Sus scrofa: one gene and its partners. The protein of the gene in region 2 interacts with the protein of the main gene of each other region in a pairwise test. Links are inferred from orthologs where the notes say so. Each region holds a gene or a part of one and is shown on either strand. Other genes may lie near its edges.

The links.
Region 1: the proteins of ATXN3 (region 2) and RAD23B interact in a two-hybrid assay, tested with the Homo sapiens proteins (2 studies listed by BioGRID and IntAct). The link is inferred for Sus scrofa from reciprocal best matches to the Homo sapiens genes ATXN3 and RAD23B.
Region 3: the proteins of ATXN3 (region 2) and EWSR1 interact in binary tests that used the Homo sapiens proteins (3 or more experiments, as listed by UniProt). The link is inferred for Sus scrofa from reciprocal best matches to the Homo sapiens genes ATXN3 and EWSR1.
Region 4: the proteins of ATXN3 (region 2) and DNM2 interact in binary tests that used the Homo sapiens proteins (3 or more experiments, as listed by UniProt). The link is inferred for Sus scrofa from reciprocal best matches to the Homo sapiens genes ATXN3 and DNM2.
Region 5: the proteins of ATXN3 (region 2) and C6H16orf70 interact in binary tests that used the Homo sapiens proteins (3 or more experiments, as listed by UniProt). The link is inferred for Sus scrofa from reciprocal best matches to the Homo sapiens genes ATXN3 and PHAF1.
Region 6: the proteins of ATXN3 (region 2) and TEX11 interact in binary tests that used the Homo sapiens proteins (3 or more experiments, as listed by UniProt). The link is inferred for Sus scrofa from reciprocal best matches to the Homo sapiens genes ATXN3 and TEX11.

What each region holds. Positions count from the first base shown.
Region 1 is NC_010443.5:248,468,491-248,471,990, reverse strand, and holds part of RAD23B (UV excision repair protein RAD23 homolog B), read right to left. Parts: intron 3,389-3,500; coding exon 3,120-3,388; intron 1-3,119. UniProt on the Homo sapiens protein: Multiubiquitin chain receptor involved in modulation of proteasomal degradation. Binds to polyubiquitin chains.
Region 2 is NC_010449.5:113,625,273-113,628,772, forward strand, and holds part of ATXN3 (ataxin-3), read right to left. Parts: intron 3,150-3,500; coding exon 3,017-3,149; intron 2,673-3,016; coding exon 2,506-2,672; intron 166-2,505; coding exon 69-165; intron 1-68. UniProt on the Homo sapiens protein: Deubiquitinating enzyme involved in protein homeostasis maintenance, transcription, cytoskeleton regulation, myogenesis and degradation of misfolded chaperone substrates.
Region 3 is NC_010456.5:46,429,223-46,432,722, forward strand, and holds part of EWSR1 (RNA-binding protein EWS), read left to right. Parts: intron 1-2,311; coding exon 2,312-2,349; intron 2,350-2,863; coding exon 2,864-2,896; intron 2,897-3,228; coding exon 3,229-3,347; intron 3,348-3,500. UniProt on the Homo sapiens protein: Binds to ssRNA containing the consensus sequence 5'-AGGUAA-3'. Might normally function as a transcriptional repressor. EWS-fusion-proteins (EFPS) may play a role in the tumorigenic process.
Region 4 is NC_010444.4:69,540,012-69,543,511, forward strand, and holds part of DNM2 (dynamin-2), read left to right. Parts: intron 1-149; coding exon 150-217; intron 218-824; coding exon 825-963; intron 964-2,126; coding exon of another isoform or gene 2,127-2,265; intron 2,266-3,247; coding exon 3,248-3,334; intron 3,335-3,500. UniProt on the Homo sapiens protein: Catalyzes the hydrolysis of GTP and utilizes this energy to mediate vesicle scission at plasma membrane during endocytosis and filament remodeling at many actin structures during organization of the actin cytoskeleton.
Region 5 is NC_010448.4:27,778,076-27,781,575, reverse strand, and holds part of C6H16orf70 (UPF0183 protein C16orf70 homolog), read right to left. Parts: intron 1,602-3,500; coding exon 1,522-1,601; intron 1,245-1,521; coding exon 1,150-1,244; intron 1-1,149. UniProt on the Homo sapiens protein: Plays a regulatory role in autophagic activity. In complex with BCAS3, associates with the autophagosome formation site during both non-selective and selective autophagy.
Region 6 is NC_010461.5:56,922,305-56,926,591, forward strand, and holds the start of TEX11 (testis-expressed protein 11), read right to left. Parts: upstream 2,801-4,287; 5' UTR 2,785-2,800; coding exon 2,748-2,784; intron 1-2,747. UniProt on the Homo sapiens protein: Regulator of crossing-over during meiosis. Involved in initiation and/or maintenance of chromosome synapsis and formation of crossovers.

The DNA of each region.
Region 1 (3,500 bases), on a different chromosome or scaffold from region 2:
GCTGTAGCCATTGGCCTACGCCAGAGCCACAGCAACGTGGGATCCGAGCCGCGTCTGCAACCTACACCACAGCTCACGGCAATGCCGGATCATTAACCCACTGAGCAAGGGCAGGGACCGAACCCGCAACCTCATGATTCCTAGTCGGATTCGTTAACCACTGCGCCATGACGGGAACTCCAAAAGCCATTCTAAGTTGTAATCATCACCATGTATAGTACTAATAATTAATTCTATCTCACAGAAATAGTCCCCTTCATTACTGTTCTTTTATAGAAAATTTGTGCTATTTTTGCACTTTGTTTTAGAATTTCTTTTAAAACATTACAGATAAGACTGAAATGATGTTTAACCACCATTCTTCAATCTTGATTCTTTTGCCTCAATACTTCTCCCTTCCCTGTCCGCGGAGGAAACCACTTTATCAGTTAGTGTGCTGTCCCTCTGCTACTGTTTTTCTACATATTAATATGCTTAACCACAGAAAATATGCAATGATGTTATGTGGCTTTTGTTTGGTTTAGGGTTACTGCCTGTATTGTTCTGCAAATCTGCTTTTTTCACTTGGTAACAAAGCCTTGAAATATGTACTGCATACTTTAACTGCCTTCTATTACTGGATATCAGAGCTCTTCAAACTTTAGAAAGCTTAAGAATTCACCAAGAGAGATTGTTAAAATTCAGACTTCTGGGACCTACCCCAGATAATTCTAGGGAGCCTAAGAATTAATTTCAAACATCAAACTCCCTGTGATGTTGATACTGTTTGTTTACTACCACACTATGAATAATAGCACAATTCCCCAATATGAACAAATCACAAAATCAAGCCATTCCCTTATTAGTGGATCTTTAGGTTGATTCCAATTTGTCTTCAATTACAAACAATACAGCCCTAGTGCAAAAAAGTGCAGTTTCTCTAACACAGATATCAACAAGTGAAATCTGCATTGTAATAGGTGGTTTTTAAAGACAAAACTGACCTAGAGAAACAAATCCCTAACAATGAAATGTCAGGCCAGGTGGTAAAAAAAACTTCTTGACACTCCTCAAATTCACATTGGCATGTCTCATTGAGTTCTGTGCTTTACAAGACATTAAATGTTTTACAGCACAAATGAAGTGACTAAGGTACATTTAAGCAGCTAGTTTTCTGAGCTTCCTTCATCCTTCCCTTCCTGTGCTATCCTTCTCTGAGGTGTATAACTCTGGGGAATAAGAGTAAAGGGATGGTGTACAAAGCTCAAGTAAGGAGGCAACTCTGCAGTCTGCTTTCCTGATCATCAACTCCCTTATGCAACCTCTATAGGTCTGAAAAGGTTCATGATGCTTGAGAACAGGTAAATAAAACTGAACCCTCAATAAGAAATAAGAGATGATAACCGAATTGATGCTATTAGCACATTAAAAGGTATTGATCAATTCAGGAATTCTCATGATATGAGGTTTTTAACAGGAGCTTAAAGAAAAGAAGATATACTGAACCAACTCGACATATTTAATTAAGTTTACAATATTTAAATGATTTGGAAAACCAATTTGCTAAATTTATAAGTTCCCTCCCAGACACAGAACAAATGTAATAGCCTTTTGATGTAATAGCATAACCTGACCCTGGGTTGTCTCCCCCTAGGTAATTAGTGTTGTGTGCATTTCTAGCTGTACCTGCAAGAAGTATCAAGTTAGGCAATGGTGTCTCAGAATGCCTAAAGCAAAGTGCAGCAGGCAGACACAGGGAAAATATTTTATCACCTGAATCCGTGTTCTCCTCTTAGGCAATTAATTCCTTGAAAAGAGGCCTGAGTGAGCAATGAACCAGGTGACTCAAACCCCTCTCAACAAAGCTGACGCAACCTCACTCAAAGGCAAAACACTAAAATGAAGGATCGTGACTGAAGTTTTTTGATTGGTGTATTTATCACAGACATCCTTCTGTGTCCATGTTTCCAACTGCTGCATAGTTTTCCACTATGTCTGGTTCTGATTCCAGGACTTTACTGCCATTGAGGTCCTGTGCTACACCAAAGCCATAAAACACAAACAGCTTCGGTGCCAGCTCACTCTGGAAAGAATACAATTCATGCTCTCAGATAGAAGAGATTCCCCTGTACGATTTCCAGCCAGGAGAACTGAAGCATTTGCTTTGGTTATTTTATTTATCATTAGGGGGAAAAAATCTTTGTCATAAATTACTCAATAATCCTAACTGCCACCTTCCCACAAGAACTTATTTCTTGTTCCCAAAATGTCCCAGCACTTTTTCTTTTGTTTCTGAAGAGCTACATGGGCAAAAACATAAATTTCTACACAAGTTCACAAAAAAATATACTCAGCATTTACTGTGTGCCATGCGCTACTTCACATCTTTCATACTTATTATTTAATCCTTAGAACAACTCCATGAAGTAAGTCCTGCTGATATCCACATTTTACAGACGAAGAAGAAAATCCAAAGATATTAATTTCTTTCCTAAGATCTAACAAATGTCATCCCCAAACACAAAACTATGTAGCAGATGGAAAAATTCTGACATAGAAGGATGTTTATTTTATATATATATATATATATATATATACACGACAATGGTCAGAAATAATATAGATCAATATAAATAATGACTGGGGGATGATGTCAAGTTATTTATGCCAAGCTATAATATAATGTCATAATTCCTCTTTCCTTTTTTTGGCCACACTGGTGGCATGCAGCAGTTCCCAGGCCAGGGACTGAACACATGTTATTGCTGTGACAACACTGGATCCTTAACCCACTGAGGCACAGGGGAACTCATATACTTCTTTTTTTGGTCATTTCCTAACTTTTGTATATGAAATGAATAACAACTCTGACCCTTTTTCTCTTTTCCCTCCAGGGGGCAGGGGGAGGGCGGCAGGGGAAATGATGCAGAGTATATAAATCTAGATTATGGAAATTTAAACAGAGGCATAATGTTTTAGTCAGTCAGGAGTTCAGAGTTTAGAAAATGTTTAACATAGTAGACAGAAAGTTAGTTTGACCAAAAAAAAAAAAAAAAAAAAAAAAAACAATCAAAATAAATTCATGAAGTTCTTATACTGAACATATTCCAAGATACAACTTCCTAACACCCAGTTCTTACCTGTCAGTTGATGTTGGGCTAGTAGCCACTGGTGTTTCTGCTGGCTTTTCTGCAGGTTTCTCTTGTTTCGTTGCACTAGCAGGTGCAGGTTCAGAAGATGCTGTCGTTGATGCTGGGGTGATGGATGCAGGAGTGGGAGTAGGAGCCAAAGCAGGGGCTGGGGTTGGGGCCTGAGCCGCAGCTGGTGCTGTGGAGGAACTAACTGTGGTAGTGGTGGCAGAATTTGATTGCTGAGTTGTAGCCGGTGCTGGTGTTGTCACTGCTTTGGGCTAAATATATTACAAAGTAAAATAATGCATTATGACAAAATATTACATTATGACATGATCTCTGAAAGCTACAAACAAATGTAACACTAATACAAATTTGTTACTTGAAAAT
Region 2 (3,500 bases):
CACAAACAGACAAAATAGCCCAAGTAAACATTAAATATGCAATTTTAATATTGTACCAACTACTTTACTTTTCAAAGTAGGCTTCTCTTCTCTTCCGCAGCTCTTCTGAAGTAAGATGTGTACCTGATGTCTGTGGAATATCTTGAGATATGTTTCTGGAAGTACCTGTGAATAAAATGGGGAAAAAAAAAACAATTTTATTTACCAAGTCAAGCAGTGATATGTTTATATTTATGTGAAGAAGCTTTTTGAAAAATTGCCTTCCCCAAAATATTCTGCTACTATCTTGTAAATAGAAGAAAGGCTCTAAAGTCTCAGGGAAGATCTGGATAAGGTAGTTCCAATTTAACCTGTGTCCACTGCAACCAAAGCTCTTCCCAATCTGTGATGCAGCGGTAAGGATGGAGCCAAAGACCAACTCGGTAGGAAAAATCATTACCACCACAGCTGCACCTCTTTTTAAGGCTAGGGATTGAATCAGAGCTACAGCTGCAGGCCTACACCACAGCCACAGCAACACAGGATCTGAGCCACATCTGCGACCTACACTGTAGCTCATGGCAACAGTGGATCCGTGTGTGGCCAGGGATTGAACCCGGATTCTCATGGATACTAGTCAGGTTTGTTACTGCTGCGCCATAACAGGAGCTCCTATACTTTCAAAGGCATGGAATTTCTAGAAGTACCTTAAAGAGCATGATCATAAAACAAACCCATTCTCTGTATTCCTCTATGCTCAAACCTGTGGGTACTAAACACGTGAGGTATGTTACTGAATTACAGCACCAAGCAGCTATTCTGCACAATTGTGAAATAAAGTGGGAAGAAGAGCAAAGCACACAAAAAATGTCAAAAACTATTAAAGCTGTGTCTGTCCATCACTGAGCTAATCTAGGAGGGCTCTACCAATTTGAAATGGGCCTCCACACTGGATGGAATACTGTGAGGTGTGCCAGGAGGCATGGGCAGTTCAGGATAAAGTACAGCATAAAAAGGACTTCTTAGAGCTCCCGTCATGGCTCAGTGGAAACGAATCTGACTGGTATCCATGAGGACGCAGGTTTGATCCCTGGATGGGTTAAGGATCCGGCATTGCCATGAGTTGTGATGTAGGTTGCAGACAAGGCTCGGATCTGGTGTTGCTGTGGCTCTGGTATGGGCCAGTGGCTACAGCTCTGATTCAACCCCTAGCCTGGGAACCTCCATATGCTAGGGGTGTGGTCCTAAAGAGCCAAAAAAAAAAAAAAAAAAAAAAAAAAGGAGTTCTCCTGCGGTACAGCAGGTTAAGGTTCTGCTATTGCCACTTCAGTGGCTAGAACCATTACTGTGGCGTGAACTCGATTGTTGGCCTAGGAAATTCCACATATTCCACATGCCATGGGTTCAGTCCAAAAAAAAAAAAAAAAAAGAGTTCCCTTCGTGAGCAGCAGCAATGAATCCGAGTGCAGCTTCGCTTCGATCTCCGACCTCATTCAGTGGGTCGGGAATCAGGCATTGCCATGAGCTGTGGTGTAGGTCGCAGACAGGGTTCGGATCCCACATTGCTGTGGCCGTGGTTGTGGCCGGCAGCTGTAGCTCCAATTCTCAAACTTCCATATGCTGAGAGTGTGGCCGTAAAAAGGCAAAACACAAACAAACAAACAAAAAACCAAAAAACCCCAGAAACAAAAAAAAAAAGCATAAAAAGGATAATCTTCATATGAGCAGAAACTCAGTTTTATTTAGATATTTAAGGAATTCGATTGAGTAATTTCATTAGAAAGTAGAAGATAAATTCATAATAACTAGATAAAGACAAAACTCCTCAAAAAAGCAAACCCCTCACACTTTAAAAAAAGCCCCTCCGAGCAACGTCCCGGACATCGCCCTCCGCCTGGACTCCCCGGGGAGGATGGGCACTCTCAGCGGATGGGCGTAAACGGCTAAAATGTGGCCCCTCAAAGTGGGCTTAAGCTGTAAGTGGCACAGCCAGTAAGGGGTAGAGTTTTGTAAAACTGATTTATATTCTCTGCCCAGGCCTTTTTTCATGTCCTTAAGCACACATATTTCTTTTTCTTTTTTGGCTGCGCCCATGGTATATGGAAATTCCCAGGCCAGGGTTTGAACCTAAGCCACAACAGTGATCCAACCCGCTGCAGTGACAATGCTGCATCTTTAACCCCCTGCACCATAAGAGAATTCCTAATAGTATAGATTTGTAAAACAGCTGGTCTGGGTAAGGGTCCACTGACCTCACAATAACTAATCTGTTCATTATTGTGTTAGCACAGTATTATAACCAGATGGAATAACTAGAAATAAAAGTATAACCAGTCCTAATATAACACAGGTTGTAAAAGGTTACTTGCATTAAAAGAAATCTAAAAAATAACTGATTTGACCCAGCTATTGCTTCAGCAGGGTTTGTCAGAGAACTTCTGCCAAGAGTACATTAACTTCCAGAAGAACGAAGGATGGGCTGAATCGCTTCAACGACAAATAGAAGGCGCGGCAGAAGAGCCTTACCTTGCATACTGAGCTGAATAGCCCTGCGGAGATCTGCCTCTTCATCTTCCATGTCGATTTCCTGGCGACTTAGGGCCAGAGCCCGCTGCAAATCCTCCTCATCTTCGTCTAACATTCCCGACCCGTCATTTGCTTCTAAGACTCGTTCCAGATCGGTTTTCTGGACCCTAAAGAATAAAGGCACTAATAGTAACTGCAGACCAGTCTTCCATTTTAGATATAACATAAAGACACCTATACACCAAAGACTTTCATGTAAGTCAAAACTTACACATTTTCTGGCAGATAAGGTCTAATAATATACAGGTTGTATTGTGATGTGACTCTAGTTAGTACATTTAAGTAATTCAAAGTGTTGATCCAAGTTTAAATCAATAAACTTCACTAAAACATAAGGGTCTAAAAAAAAAATCGCCAATAATAAGAGGACCACACCTTCAATGTAAGCATGAAAATTTAATCCTTGTAATGAAACACTGTCATATATTCCACACTGCAGGCTTCATTTTACCTCTGTTCTTTTAATTGTGCTAATTCTTCTCCAATAAGTTTTGGTCGCTGCATCTGCTGGACCCTGATCATCTGCAGGAGTTGGTCAGCTTCACAGTCTGGCAGGTCACCCTTAACGACGAATATAGAATAACCTAAAGAAAAAGGCAAAAGCAAACTGAGACAGCTAGCAAGTGATTAAAAATTGATTAAAAATGACAGCAGACAGAGAGGCAGCACAGAAGAGTGGGAAGAACACAAACCAAGGAATCAGGAAGACCTGGGTGTAAATAATGATCCTTTGTTTTTTGGCCATGCCTGCATCCAGGGATCAAACCCGAGCTAGAGCCACAAACAATGACAACACCAGACCCCTAACCCACTGAAACACCAGGGACGTCCTCAAATAATGATTCTTACACTTACTAGTGGGTGATCCACTTAAAGGCCCTGAGCCTCACTTTCTTCATCTGAAAAATGGGAAGAGCCAGCTCACAGAATGACTA
Region 3 (3,500 bases), on a different chromosome or scaffold from region 2:
CCCATAAGCCTTGAACCCATGGCCTGAGGTGCACCTGGTACACAGAAAATTCCAATAACTTTTTGCAGAGTAATGTATGTACTTATAGAATCACTCTCCCCATTGGAGATTTTGAGAAGTCTAAATCGGTTTGACCATTTTGATTGATGGCACAATCTGGTTTAGAAAACTTTGTTTAGATCAGTAACATAACCTGCTACCTGTGCCTGCCCTTCCCCTCCCTTGTCCCATCCCCCTCTTCCCTTTCTGGTGTCTATACTTTGATGAAGGTGAGGTATGATGTTGGTTAACATAATCCAGAAGGCTTAGTTCTGTGTGTGTTCTGTCCCTATATAAATAGTTTAAAAGTTATGCAGAATGTTAACATAAGTATAAATTGGAGTTGGTGCTGCTGTTGATTCAAGGAAAAACTGAACTAGAATTTCTCTTTTTTAAGAAACGTTACTTCAAAATTAAATACATTAAAAAATTGATCTTTAATTCTTATATTGGCAAATCTGTTTACTGTTGAACAACACTGGCTTAAAATACTGCTTTGCATATTCTGCATAACTTAAAAAGTCTGGTGAAATCTTTATTGGAAGAAACAGTCATTTTACAACATGGAAAAATTTATGAATAACTTAGTAAAAAGTAAATTTAATCTTTTGATTAAATGAAGAATGTCATTCCATTATAAAGGTTTCACTTCTTTATGGATGTTTTAAATAGATGTAGACACTTGAAATTACTATCATCACGTCTCCAATCACCTAGAATTCTTAGTGTTTTTCGATTACAAAACCAATTTCAAGTTTATTCATCTTAATTCTTCAGAAGTAATAATTCTACTAATTTTACTACTTTGTTAGTAGAGGGGTTCCCTCCTTGTGGGTGGAGAAGTCTTTCCTGAAGCCATAGAAAAAATCATGGCTTTCCCCATAGGTTTTTCAACAGACTGTGAAGCAGTCGGTTGGATCCTTTGGGGCAGGACAAGGGCCTTCCCCTCTCCTCTTTTTTTATTGTGGTGTGGTGATGGTTTTCAGTGTCTTCTGCAGGTAAGGCACTCAATGTTGTTAACATGCCCTTTTTCATTGCCTCAGTATTTTGATATTTTCATTGGCTGTTAAACGTGGAAACTTTTTAACATGCTTTGTCGCATTTATATGCTACAGGTTACAAAGTGAGAGCCTTGTATACACTTCAATACTTAAAAAGTACCCGTACTCAGTACTCAGCCGGCAGCATAATGAAAAGTGGGACTAGACACGGTGTCCATATGGAGAGGAAAAATATACATAGAATATTTTTAACAAAATGTATTCATTGTATAAATGGAATCCTTCTGTAACTTTGGTAACTGCATACTTGTTGTTTGGTAATGAACCAGAGGAGGTATAATACTCTAGAATTGTGTAACATTAAAGTGTAAACTTTTGTGTTTAAAGAGAGAGAACATTTTATGGTGTGTACTTTTAAAAAGGAAACAAAGCTGCATGCAACAGCTTGAAATTGTATATTCAGGTATTAAAGGTGCAATACTGGTTAGAAAAAAGCTCAGGGCCTCCCACTGAGGAGCTGCCTTTATTTAATTTTACTTAATTTTAAAGAAAAACCAAAAAGGCCCGATTCGTATCTCTTCCCCCTTCCTTTAAATACATAAGGCAGTGATTTTATACTGCCATTGTCATTGTTCTCAACTGAAATGTCTATAAAGTTGCACCCCCAGTCTGTGAAGCCTTGGTATTTGTTGTACATTCTCCTTTCACAGCGATTGTTAAACCCATTAGTGCCCTGAAGTGTATGGCTTTATGCTGAAGATCTGCTGGATGCGTCCTCTGGTGTGTGTTGTAGGCCTTTACTGTGGTGTCTCCTGCTTTATTATACTGTGACTTGTTAGGAAGCCCAGGGCCTCACTTGGCTCTCCCTTGGGAGAGGTGAGGGTGCACCTTTATGAACATGGAAAGGTTCATCACAGCAGTTGCCCCAGCTTGCTACTCCTCTCCACACCAAGCTTTCCCTGTTTTTCAGCTGATGGGGTGGGTGTTTGGGATGTATTTTTCCCCCAATTTGCCATGTATTGCACTATTAATACCAGCCCCCGAAATGAAAGGAGCCAACCACACTGGTGTGTACAATCAGACAAGCAAGGTTGTATATAAAGGAAATTTGAGCAAGCTGCCCTGAAGAAAGGCATAGTGACAAGATGAGAGAGATGCATTGTTTGGAGATGTGTTAGCCAGTGCCCTTCTTCCCCACGAGCCCCCCCAAGGCTCAGAGCGGTACTGGCTTTTAAAGGGAAAGGCCTTCATTTCTTCGTTTATCCCCCCAGCAGCGCTGGAGAGCGAGGTGGCTTCAATAAGCCTGGTGGTAAGTTTTTGAGTATTACCATGGATAGTGTTAAAAAAAATACAGTCAGTTTTTAGAAAACTATAATTTTTTGTTAGTTTCATAAGCGGTTTAAAAATGATCTATACAAAAGAGACTAATGGGTACTGCCGGCATTGTCTTAGGGGTAATAAGGTTAACCTATGGTTACAAAACAAAGGGTAACTTGAAGTATTGAGCAACTGCTTCTGTAATATGGGGGAGAGTACATTTTTTTAAATTTGGTTTATTTGGAGGAAAAAAATTGATTTAAATTTAACACTAATTTGGCACATAAGCATTGCGAGTGTATTTGGTTAATGGTTTAAAAGCAAACCCTAGCAAACCTTTCACAGATGTTAAAGGGGCACTGCTCCATTTTAGCAGTGCGGGTCATTTTGAATTTAATGAAGCCCCATCAAATGGTGGTATAGTAGATAGTTATGTGTGTTTGTAAGGTTTGTAGCTTGCAAGACGTGCACTAATAATATTTTATATGATCTTTCCTGGTTGGCAGGACCCATGGATGAAGGACCAGATCTTGATTTAGGTAATTTTGAATTCCTGAATATTACATTGTGCGTTATAAACACATAGCACAAAAGTAAGTGCAGGTTTAAGTTCAGCAGCCTGGTAGATCATTGTGATATTCTTGCTGTCAGAGATGGTTTGGGGCTTCCTTTATCTTGAGTTACTACTCGTAATAACCTTAAAAAACAGCAGAGTAAAAAGAGTAAACCAAAAGTTCCTCGGCATCCTTGTTAGTATGGTTGGTAGTTCTCTTAGCTTTGTGGTGAATACCAGTGGGCAGTAGTGACCAGTTGGTTAATAAACCTCTGTGATACAGGGCAATAACTCCTTCTGTCTACTTTTCTCTGGAAGGCCCGCCTGTAGATCCAGATGAAGACTCTGACAACAGTGCAATTTATGTGCAAGGATTAAATGACAATGTGACTCTAGATGATCTGGCGGACTTCTTTAAGCAGTGTGGAGTTGTGAAGGTAAGTAAAAGCATAACCTTGTGATCTGGCAGATCTTCCAGCCACAGAATATAAAAGAATTGACTTGAGTTTCTGGAGTTGTTTGACTTTTCCTTTTGGGCCATCCATATTGTGATTTGCTCCTTAAAATAACAGTAACAACAAAAAAAGTCA
Region 4 (3,500 bases), on a different chromosome or scaffold from region 2:
TTTTAATATTTTTAAAAATTTTTGACCAGTTAAATATTCTGCCAGGTGAATGCAAACAGGACACAGGAGATCACACTCCCCCCACTAGAGACCTATTGTCGGGGGTGCCTAGGTAGCTCCTTGCATGTGTTTGGTTTGTCTGTTCTCAGATGGAGTTTGATGAGAAGGACTTAAGACGGGAGATCAGCTATGCCATTAAGAACATCCATGGAGTCAGGCAAGTTCCATTCATGAGTCACCATGTTCCCATCATTTCCATGGTGCCACCCTGCAGCCAGTCAGTGCCCCCCCAAACCTCTGGGTGCCCCGATTGATTGTGAGACCTGGAAAGGGCTCCAGAGTGATTTGCAGTAGCTGTCAGTCTCTCCCTCTGGTCTCCAAGTTCACTCAAGTGTGTATGTGAGTAGTTCTGTGTGGATCTCTTGTATCCCCTTGGGCTGTCCACTGCTCTTGGGTTAAACATTGGTTAAACCTCCCAGTCACTGTGGTCAGGAAGTAAGAAAACTCACTGCAGATTTGCCCTGGGGGGCGGGGAATGGAAGGGAGCTGAGTCACTATTACAGGAACCCACCGGTGCCCCATGAGCCTCCTGGGTCCCCACCCTGTTCCGGCAAAAATCATGGCTCCCGGCCTCCAGTCTCTTGTTGCCAAGGGGTCCTCAGATCACCCCGGGGGGTTCCAGGTAGTGGATGCAAGCGTCTGACCCCCCCAGACTTGCTGTGACCTTGGCTTTCTCGGGAACCGGCCTGTGCCTGTGAAATTGCTGACCGTGCTTTGTTTCTCTCTGACTTATCTCCCCTGCCCCCGGGTACGGATGGTTTTAGGACCGGGCTCTTCACCCCGGACTTGGCATTCGAGGCCATTGTGAAAAAGCAGGTCGTCAAGCTGAAAGAGCCCTGTCTGAAATGTGTCGACCTGGTTATCCAGGAGCTAATCAATACAGTTAGGCAGTGTACCAGTAAGGTATTGGACCCTCGGCAGGGTGACTCCTGGCCTTGTGGAAACGGGGCTACGGGGGTTTGGTATCAGGCTCCCAGTGCTGCTTGGCCTTTGCCCTGCTGGTCCCCTCACCTCTCCTTCCCAGATTGCCTCGGTGTCCAAGAACGTGGCCTCTTCCCAGAGGCTGGGGCGGGCGCGTTTCGGCCTGGGTGCAACCGGGGGTGCCAGACCTCCAGATTCCAGACTGGTGGGCAGGGCGCCCTGGGACCTTGATACCAAGCTTAGCATGTATTGGATGGGGGTTTCGTCGCGCTGTCGCTTTGCTGTCTTCTGGGTAGCAGAGAGGGACCTTGTGTCACCTCCTGGAGGCCAAGCTCCCTACACCTCCCTGCCCATCACCCCTTCTTGACAAAGGTGTGGTGCTTTAAGCACTCCCCAGTCAGCCACTTCTCTGTCCCCGAGGCGCCGAGAAAGCCCGAATGCCAACAGCATAATGAGTGCTCTGTCTGGCTTGGCCCCTAATGGCCTCTGCCAGCTCCCCAGCACCGCCCCAGGGGCAGGGTTGTCCCCCTAGGCAGCCCGTCCTCTGATTCCCCTAGGTCACAGTCACCTGTGTGCCAGTGTTCACAGGCCACTGCCTCCACATGGCAGGACATACCAGCTTCCCCGCGGGCCTGGCTCCCAGGGCAGCACGCTTTGGCCGAGCAGCTGAAGTGCTTCCCAGCGGGCGGTCTATGCTTGCACATCCACCATGGCCGTAGAGCTCTGGGTCAGCCTTCCAAGGCCAGAATTTCTGCTTTGATCCTTCTGTACTCAGTCTGGAAAAGCCCACATTTGCTTCTTAAGCTTCTTCGATTGGAAGAGGGAGGGGAAAGAAACCCAGATGGTTTGGACATTATCGTCACATATAAGAAAATTCAAGGCCTCCCTATATCCATACCTGTTCGGTATGCCCACTCTGACCCATGGCACTTGTGTAATTAAAGCCCAGACCATGCCCACCCCTCAGACCCAGGACGCCTCTTGATCCAAAGCAGCTTCCGGGGCAAATGCGGGCACAGGCTCCTCCGTGCATGTCACTAACCAGCTGACTCTCGTTTCTTCTCTCTCTGTCTCCTGTCCCGCGTGTGTGGCCTGCACTGCCCCTGGGTGTCTCTCTGCCTCATCCCGCCCTCCGCATGACCCAGGACGGGGCTCTTCACCCCCGACATGGCCTTTGAAGCCATTGTGAAAAAACAGATTGTAAAACTCAAAGAGCCAAGTTTGAAGTGTGTTGATCTCGTGGTTTCAGAACTGGCCACGGTCATTAAAAAGTGTGCCGAGAAGGTAACCAAAGATTTCATTATTATCACCTGTGTACTCATCCCCCACCTTCTTCTTCCCATTGTTAGTCTTAACCCCGAGCATCTGGGAAACTCTGCCTCGGCAGGAACCCCCTTCCGTGGGCCAGTGGTACTTGGTGACCTCAGCTTTGCCTCGGCAGTAATGGTGTGGAGGGCATGTCCCATGGCGCATGGGTTCCACTTTTGCAGGTTGGGCCTCGGATGGAGGTAGAAAGCCTTTGTGGCCAGATGCATTTACTAAGCAAGCAACAGGGGTGAGGGCCCGTGCCCATCCCTGGAAAAGTGGGTTTCCAAACTGTCACCAGTGTGGTGAAACACGTTGCCAGCACGAAGACCTGTGTGTTCTTTTTTTTTTAGACCTGTGTGTTCTTACATCATGGGGCCTTTAAGAGGTTTTCCCACAGGTGATTTTGACCATTGGCTCAATTTTCCCTGATTCGTGGCCTCTCCCCAAACCGTGGAAGGTGGGCTTCTGTGTGTTGGGTTTGGTTACCACTGCACAGGCTGGGAGCCCCCAGGGTGTCTGGAGGAATGAAGCCCAAAGTGAGGTGATGGGGAATTTTCTTCAAGGGGGTCCCTCTGAGGTAGATGGCCCAGATGCTGCCTCCATCCTAGAAGGGGCCCTGCGCCCTCCCCGCCCTGGTAGCCCAGCGGCTTTCATTAAACTGTCCTGGCTCTCACCCAGCTGCTGCGTAGGAGGGGGGTAGCCATCACCCGCTGTCTCTGCCGTTTTCCACCTCGAATTGCATTCTCGAAAAGCACTTCTGCTTGTGCGTGGGCACCCTCTCCATCTCTCCAGCCCGCCGTCCCCCCACCTTCCCCTCCTGGTCTCCCAGCCAGAGCGCCTGTGAGACAGGAGCCAGGTGGGGACTCGGTGGGCCCACCCCCTGTCACCCCACCCCTATGTTTTTCCCTTTGGCTCATGTTGCCTCCCAGCCAATGCCGCCACTCTGATTTCCCCCCAGCTCAGCTCCTACCCCCGGCTGCGAGAGGAGACGGAACGAATCGTCACCACTTACATCCGGGAACGGGAGGGGAGAACCAAGGACCAGGTACTGGCCTTTTGTCTTCTTCAGGTACAATTCATATACAGGAAATGTTGGCTGTGCAGTTCTGTGAGTTTTGACAAACGCATACAGCAGGGTAACCCCCACCTCTCTCAACATACGAAGCAGTTCTGTTACCCCTCCAAACTCTCATCTTTGTGCCCCTTTGTCA
Region 5 (3,500 bases), on a different chromosome or scaffold from region 2:
ACGGGAGGCCATGGGGCTCAGGCTCTGGCATTTCCCCAAAACTCATGGTCTTTAAGAACTGGTCAGGCCAAAGCACACAGTCCAAACTACCTCCAAGTAAAGTTCTTTTTTTTTTTTTAATTTTTAAAAATTTTCTTATTTTTATTTATCTTTTTTTCCCCTTTTTCGGGCCACACCTGAAGCATATGGAAGTTCCCAGCTAGGGGCTGAATAGGAGCTGCAGCTGCTGGCCTACACCACAGCCACAGCAACACCAGATTCAAGCTGCATCTGTAACCTACGCTGCAGCTTCTAGCAACACTGGATCCTTAACCCATTGAGTGAGGCCAGGGATCAAACCTGCATCCTCATGGACACTATGTCAAGTTCTTAACCTGCTGAGCCACAATGGGAATGCCAATCTTTTTTTTTTTTTTTTTTTTAAATGGCTGCATCGCAGCATATGGAGTTTCCAGGCCAGAGACTGACTCTGAGCCACTGCAACTGGATCCTTAACCCACTGCGCCACAGCAGGAACTCCCATGCAATTTCATCTTTAATTATTTCATAACTGTAAGGATGCTGATACCTAAGGATAAAATCTCTCAAATTATAAGACCATTAAGAAAAACTGGGGTATTTGGAGTTTTAAAGCACATGACATGGGAGTTCCATTATGGCTCAGTGGTAAGGAACCCAATTAGTATTCATGAGGACACGGGTTCAATCCCTGGCCTTGGTCAGTGGGTTAAGGATTGGTGTTGCTGTGAGCTGTGGTGTAGGTCGCAGACAAGGATTGGATCCTGAGTTGCTGTGGCTGTGGTGTAGGCTGGCAGATGAAGCTCTGATTTGACCCCTAGCCTGGGAACTTCCATATGCCACAAGTGAGGCCTTAAAAACAAAACAAACAAACAAAAAAGCACATGACATGGATATACTTCTGAAAAGTGGGGTCAAGCTCACTTTTTAGTTGGAAGCACCCTCTTTCTGGGAATGCCAGCTTTGGCTTTGTTCTGTCAACTTCACCCACTCCATCCCTTTGGCCCCTAAAGACCTCAGAATGAGGAAACCAAAGAAAGGGTATCTATCCAGCATCCTCCAACGGCACAGTCTGCTGACCTTTATCACCTGGGCACTAAGCAACAATATCAAGCAAAGAGAAGAGCTAACCTCGTACTTGGGAGCCTCAATCCATGAGTCTAGCTGAAAAGAGAAAGACAGTCCTCTGAAGTTGAGATGGAAGAGCTGCTCAGCAGAGTTGTACACTGTGGGAGTGAGAAGAAAATGACATGGATGAGTGGCATCAGAAGTTGCAAACACAAACCAGTCTGGCAGGAAGTAATGACTAGCAACACCTTCCTTGTGTCTCCTTTCTGAATTGACCTACTAGGAGAAAACAAGGGGCAGGTGCTTTCCTTCACAAGGACCAACCCCCACATCCTAGAGAAACGTGGCTTTGGGGGCTTGGGCTGGCACCATTTGCCAGGTTTATTAATGTGGGCTGCTACAGATGACCAGAGGAATCAGATGGACTTGGCTTACCTCCAGGATGGGTTGCACCAAAAGACTGGTCAATCTGCTCAATGGTGGGAGCTATGGCTTGAGAATTGAAATGCACGCCACTGAAAAACAAAGATACTTTTTAACACCAGGCTGTGCACGATGGGCTCACAGATCACTGGAGACGGTGGCTGGAAGACTTACTCTTAAAACACAGGTAGGTAAGCCTACAATTATACCAAAATAAAAGTTTAGCTATAGGATTTTCTTTTTTTTCTTTTTTCTTTTTGTCTTTTTGCCATTTCTTGGGCCGCTCCTGTGGCACATGGAGGTTCCCAGGCTAGGGGTCGAATCAGAGCTGTAGCCGCCGGCCTACGCCAGAGCCACAGCAACGTGGGATCCGAGCCGTGTCTGCAACGAACACCACAGATCACGGCAACGCCAGATCCTCAACCCACTGAACAAGGCCAGGGATCGAACCCACAACCTCATGGTTCCTAGTCGGATTCATTAACCACTGAGCCACGTCGGGAACTCCAGCTATAGGATTTTCTTTCTTTCTTTTTTTTTTTTTGCTTTTGAGGGCCATCCCTGGGGCATATGGAGGTTCCCAGGCTAGGGGTCTAATCAGGGCTACAGCTGCCAGTCTACACCACAGCCACAGCAATGCCAGATCCAACCTACACCATAGCTCACGGCAACGCCAGACCTTTAACCCACTGAGCGAGGCCAGCGAAGGAACCCGTGACCTCATGGTTCCTAGTTGGATTCATTTCTGCTGCACCATGATGGGAACTCCTAGCTATAGGATTTTTAAATAAGGGACAATTAATGAGGTCAGAAATAGTCAACTCTCCCAAGGATGATACAGAGAATTAGTCCCCTAGGTCCTCCTAAGAGGACTGTGGCCACCAGGCCCAGTTCAGAAGGAAATATATCTGGCTTCAGCCCCATGGCATTTGGACTTGGATCAAGAGTGGTCACAGAAATACACAGTGTGGGGACTTCCCATAGTGGCACAGTAGGTTAAGAATCTGACCGTAGTGGCTTGGGTCACTGAAGAAACACAGGTTTAATCCCCGTCCCGGTGCAAGTCGGTTAAGAATCCAGCATTGCCATAGCTGTGGTTTAAGTCACAGCTGCAGCGTGGATTCAGTCCCTGGCCTGGGAACTTCCATATGCTGCAGGTGTGGTCATTAAAAAAACAAAACAAAACAGTGAACAGTATTAAGGTGGTTTCCCAGGATGTCAACTAGTAGTTTAGCTACACCTTCTTAAAAAGGGATCAATGTCTTAAAAGAAGGGTAGAGGCAAGCAAGGCAGCTTGTCTTCCTAACAGGCAGAAGAGCCAGCACTCATGGACTTGGGGAACAGGTATGCAGATGGGAAGGAACGGATCCCAATCAAAGGAAAAACATCTTGGAGGGAGGTGGGCTTGGGAGCAAAGAGAGGCATATGATTTCAGATGATGAGTTCAAAGATAAGTCATTTTTAACTTTAAGGATATGGTTGATTATTATTATTTTGCTTCTTAGGGCGGCACTAGCAGCATATGATGGTTCCCAGGCTAGGGGTCGAACTGGAGCTAGAGCTGCTGGCCTAAGCCACAGCCACAGCAACAGGGGATCCAAGCTGCCTCTGCAACCTGTACTACAGCTCACTGCAACGCAGGATCCTTTACCCACTGAGTGAGACCAGGGATCGAACCCACAACCTCATGGTTTCTAGTTGGATTCCTTTCTACTATGCCACAACAGGAACTCGTTAAGGATAATGTCTAAAGGTTAAGTATAATTTTTTAAATATAATTTATAGAGCACCTGTTTTTAACCAAGCACTGTGCTATGTGCTTTACCAGCATTATCTCACGTAATCTTCCTAACCCAGCAACCACATTATTGGTTTTATTTCTCTGATGAGAAAACAAGCTCACAGAAATTAAGTGATTTTTCCAATTTCAGAGAGTAATAAAATGAAGCCATTACTCAAAGCCAGGGCAGCCTGATTCTAGACCCCTTGCT
Region 6 (4,287 bases), on a different chromosome or scaffold from region 2:
AAACAAAAAACAAAAAAGCAAGTCCAGGAGTTCTCACTGTGGCACAGCAGTTTAAGAACCCAGTGTTGTCTCTGTGGCAGCACAGGTTTGCCCTCAGGCCTGGTGCAGTGGGTTAAGGATCTGGCATTGCCACAGCTACAGTGTAGGTCATAGCTGCAGCTGGGATTCAATCCCTGGCCAGGGAACTTCCATATGCCAAGGGTACAGACCAAAAAAAAGAAACATGGCAAGTCCAAAATGAGATATGCTTTAAGTATAAAATACATATCAGAAGTTCCCATTGTGGCTCAGCTGGTTAAGGACCTGATACAGTCTCTATGAGGATGCGGGTTCAATCCCTGGCCCTACTGGCCCCACTCAGTGGGTTAAGGATCTGGCATTACCACAAGCTACAGCACAGGTTGCAGATGCTGCTCAGATCTGGTATGGCTGTGGCTGTGGCGTAGGCCTCAGTTGCAGCTCCAATTTGACCCCTAGCCTGAGAATTTCCATATGCTGCACGTGCGGCCATAAAAATAAATAAATAGATGGATAAAACACATATCGGACTTAAAAGACTTTGTACAGAAAGAAAACAAATAATGTAAAATATTTCATTAATAATTTTATATTGATTACGTATTGAAATTATAACATTTTAGACATACTTAGCTAAATAATTTATATTATTAAAATTAATTTTTTTCTTCCTTTTTTTGGCCACACCCTCAACATATGGAAGTTCCCAGGCCAGGGATCCAATCTGCACCAAAGCAGTGACAATCGGATCCTTAACCACTAGGCCACTGGGAAATTCCCTATTTAACCTTTTCTATTTTTTATTTTTGTCTTTTTTTTTTTTTTTTTTTTTGTCTTTTCTAGGGCTGCACCCATGGCATATGGAGGTTCCCAGGCTAGGGGTCAAATCGGAGCTGTAGCCACCAGCCTATACCAGAGCCACAGCAACGCCAGATCCAAGTCACGTCTTCAACTTACACCACAGCTTACGGCAACGCCAGATCCTTAACCCACTGAGCAAGGCCAGGGATCGAACCCACAACCTCATGGTTCCTAGTTGGATTCGTTCACCACTGAGCCATGACAGGAACTCCCCTATTTAACCTTTTTTAAAGTGGTACTAGAAAATATAAAATTATTTATGTTTGCATTACATTTCAATTGGTCAGCACTGCCCTAGAGCCTCACACACTGGTGCTCAAGAAATAATTTAGTGAGTCATAAGTAACATTTTTTAAAATGAAAAGGTATAGAATATTACACATCATAGTGCACTGCATGTAATAAGGTTAAAATGATTTCATTAAACTTTTGATATACTGTGATGTAAAATACATTTCCTTGCCATAGGTGGTGGTCAAAATGTTTGAAAGCTCTTGATAAACTCTCCAAAATAGTGTTAGTTGTCATGCTGTTGTTTGTAATAGCAAATATTTGAAACAACTCATACATCCAACAAAGTAGATTGGATAAATTGTGGTACACTCACATTAAATGTAATAGTGCTAATCAATAGTGTAAATAAATGAACTAGAACTAAAATATCCACATGGGTAAATATCCAAAACATAATACTGAGCAAAAAACACAAGTTGCAGGGGAAATAAAAATCATACAAAATGATACAATTTATGCAATATTTTAAAAGACGAAAAACAGGTACATTAATCTTTTAAGTTCTTTGGAACAGCAAAACATCTGAAGCATATGGAAAACTATTAAGATTCAACAAAACTCAGTGGTAGTTACATAGGTATTCATTATATTATTCTCCTTTTCTCTGTGCTTCAAATATTTATTTAAACACAATGTCTAAAAAAAATATACTTAAAAGTCATAATCTCTATTTAATATTTATATTTTTAAGATACTATAACCTAAATTAAAATTTAAGGTAGCTGGTAGTGGGCTTTGTTATTGCTTCAAAATGACAAGTGCTAACAAACTATTGACCTAAACTTTCTGAAATCATAGATTTGTAGCCACCTTGGTTACAACATATTTCACTATTATATGAAATCAGATCTGATCATATCCCCAGAAAAAATGAAATGTGATAAACTCTCCCATACCTGGCATGGTTAAGGAATCTGGTGTTCTAGTCAATCAAATAACTTTTGTTTACTAAGAATTCATACATAGAATACTAATTTTCAAAAGAATTAAGATACTACATATATATACATATATATACTACATATATATGAGCCACTGTACTATACATCTGAAACTAACACAACATTGTAAATCAACTATACTTCAATTTATTTTGGCCACGCCCAAGGCATGCAGAAGTTCCAGGGCCAGGGATGGAACGGGTGCCACAGCAGCAACCCAAGCCACAGCAGTGACAATGCCAGATCCTTAACCCACTGAGCTACCAGGGAACTCCTAATTTATTTTTTACTGATGATTATGGAAAGGCACTTCAGGACCTAACAGTAATTTTTAATGTATTTTTAACACAATAAATTTCTATGTCAAATTAATCCAGTGTCACTTTGCATGCCATAAAAATCCAAAGAAAATAAGCTATGAATTGTGAATTATTATGAATTCTATTTCCCTACACTAACTTATAAAAGGGCTCCAGCGTCTTAAACATCCACCCTGTTTTCTGGTACCAAAATGAGAAAAACTGGTTTTATAGATATTCCAGAAAGATAAAATTAGGCAAGGAAATTCATTTAGAAGATCTTACATAAGTCAGCAAACAGATTGACATTTTCTACCATATATAAGCTATATACCTTTAAAGTCCATGAAACGAAAATCAATATCGTCCATTTTTAATATCTCTCGGTCAGGCCTATGAAATAAGAAAATACTTTAATATTCTGTAACTCATCTTCCAGTTTCTCAATAAATTTCAATTTTTTCTTATTACTTGTTAACCAAAAGAAAAAATGCTGTGAAAATTTTAAAACCCAAGAAAAAAGCAGTTATGAGAGGCAGGACCAGGTTGCCCGGCCACATGAACCCGGGCTAGAGGAAATTTTCATCCCAAGTCTCTTCTTAGGACAATCTGCCCGGCAACACGAAAATCGGGACTTGGGGTACCCTGTGATTGGACCGCCTGGTCCATACGTTCAAAGCAACCAATCACTGACACTCCTTTTTCCCGCTCTCACAGACCTGCCTAGCGCCTCAGCTCCCCGCCCCCACAGTCACCAACCGTCAGCCTTCAACCGATTTTAGGTCCTTCAAATCCAAACTACAGCATCTATCATATTCCGTTTTCAGTGATCCCGCAACGCTCCCCCATACTTCATCCAAGTCCAAAAATCCTGCCTTCGCCCACCTTCCTTCATCCGAGAGTCAGCGCCATAGTTCAAAACTGTCGCCTCAGGATCACTTTAAAAGGTGCTGACCTAACGGGTCACATCTTCTTGCTAGTTAGAACCCATCCAACTAACCTGCATCTGACGCTCCTACAAAGACTACTCACCTCAGCCAGGACCGCTGACAGCACAATGCTCTCTGTGACCGACCACGGCCCTGCAGTGCCAGTAACTAACGCTTGGAAAGCTCCTCCCCCCATAGTGACGTCAATCAAAGGCACCGCCCAATTGACCTTTGCCCTCCATCGAGAGTCTGAGCCTCCTGGTGGCACAGTGCGGGCATTAAGTTCTAGGGATGCAGTTCAGAGGGCCGGGGTGAAAATCACTAAAAGTGAGGGAGTATAGTGCAACACTGAAACATAGCGCAATTGTTGTGAGAAGTGTGCAGGTGTGGAGAATTAGAGAAAGAGGAGAGAAAGGCTTTGAAAGAAAAAAGGGGATGGGAGAAAAAGGAAGGGGTTAGAGGAAGGAAGAGAGGGAGGAGAGGAGCGAGGGGGGAAAGAAAAGTAAACAATGTTGCCCACTGGTTATTAAAGAGTCAGAAATGTCATAAGTTGGGAGGTCCCCTTGTGGCTCAGCACGTTACAAACCCTACTAGTATCCATGAGGTTGTGGGTTCAATCCCTAGTCTCAGTCAGTGGGTTAGGGATCCATTTCTGGGAGCTGTGATGTAGGTTGCAGACAGGGCACAGATCTGGTTGCTGTTGCTATGAGTGTGGGTAGGCCGGCAGCTGGAGCTCTGTTTTGACCCCTAGCGTGGGAACCTCCATATGCCAGGGGTAGGGTCCTAAAAAAAAAAAGAAAAGGAAAAAAAGAAATTTCACAAGTGAAGGAAACAGAAAAACCCTGTAGTTCCAATTTGTGTTTCTACTGCCCTACCCTTGTCATATCTGAAGGAAACAACCCAATGACTCCCCTTTTGCAGGTTCACAGCGAGGGCATAACCAAT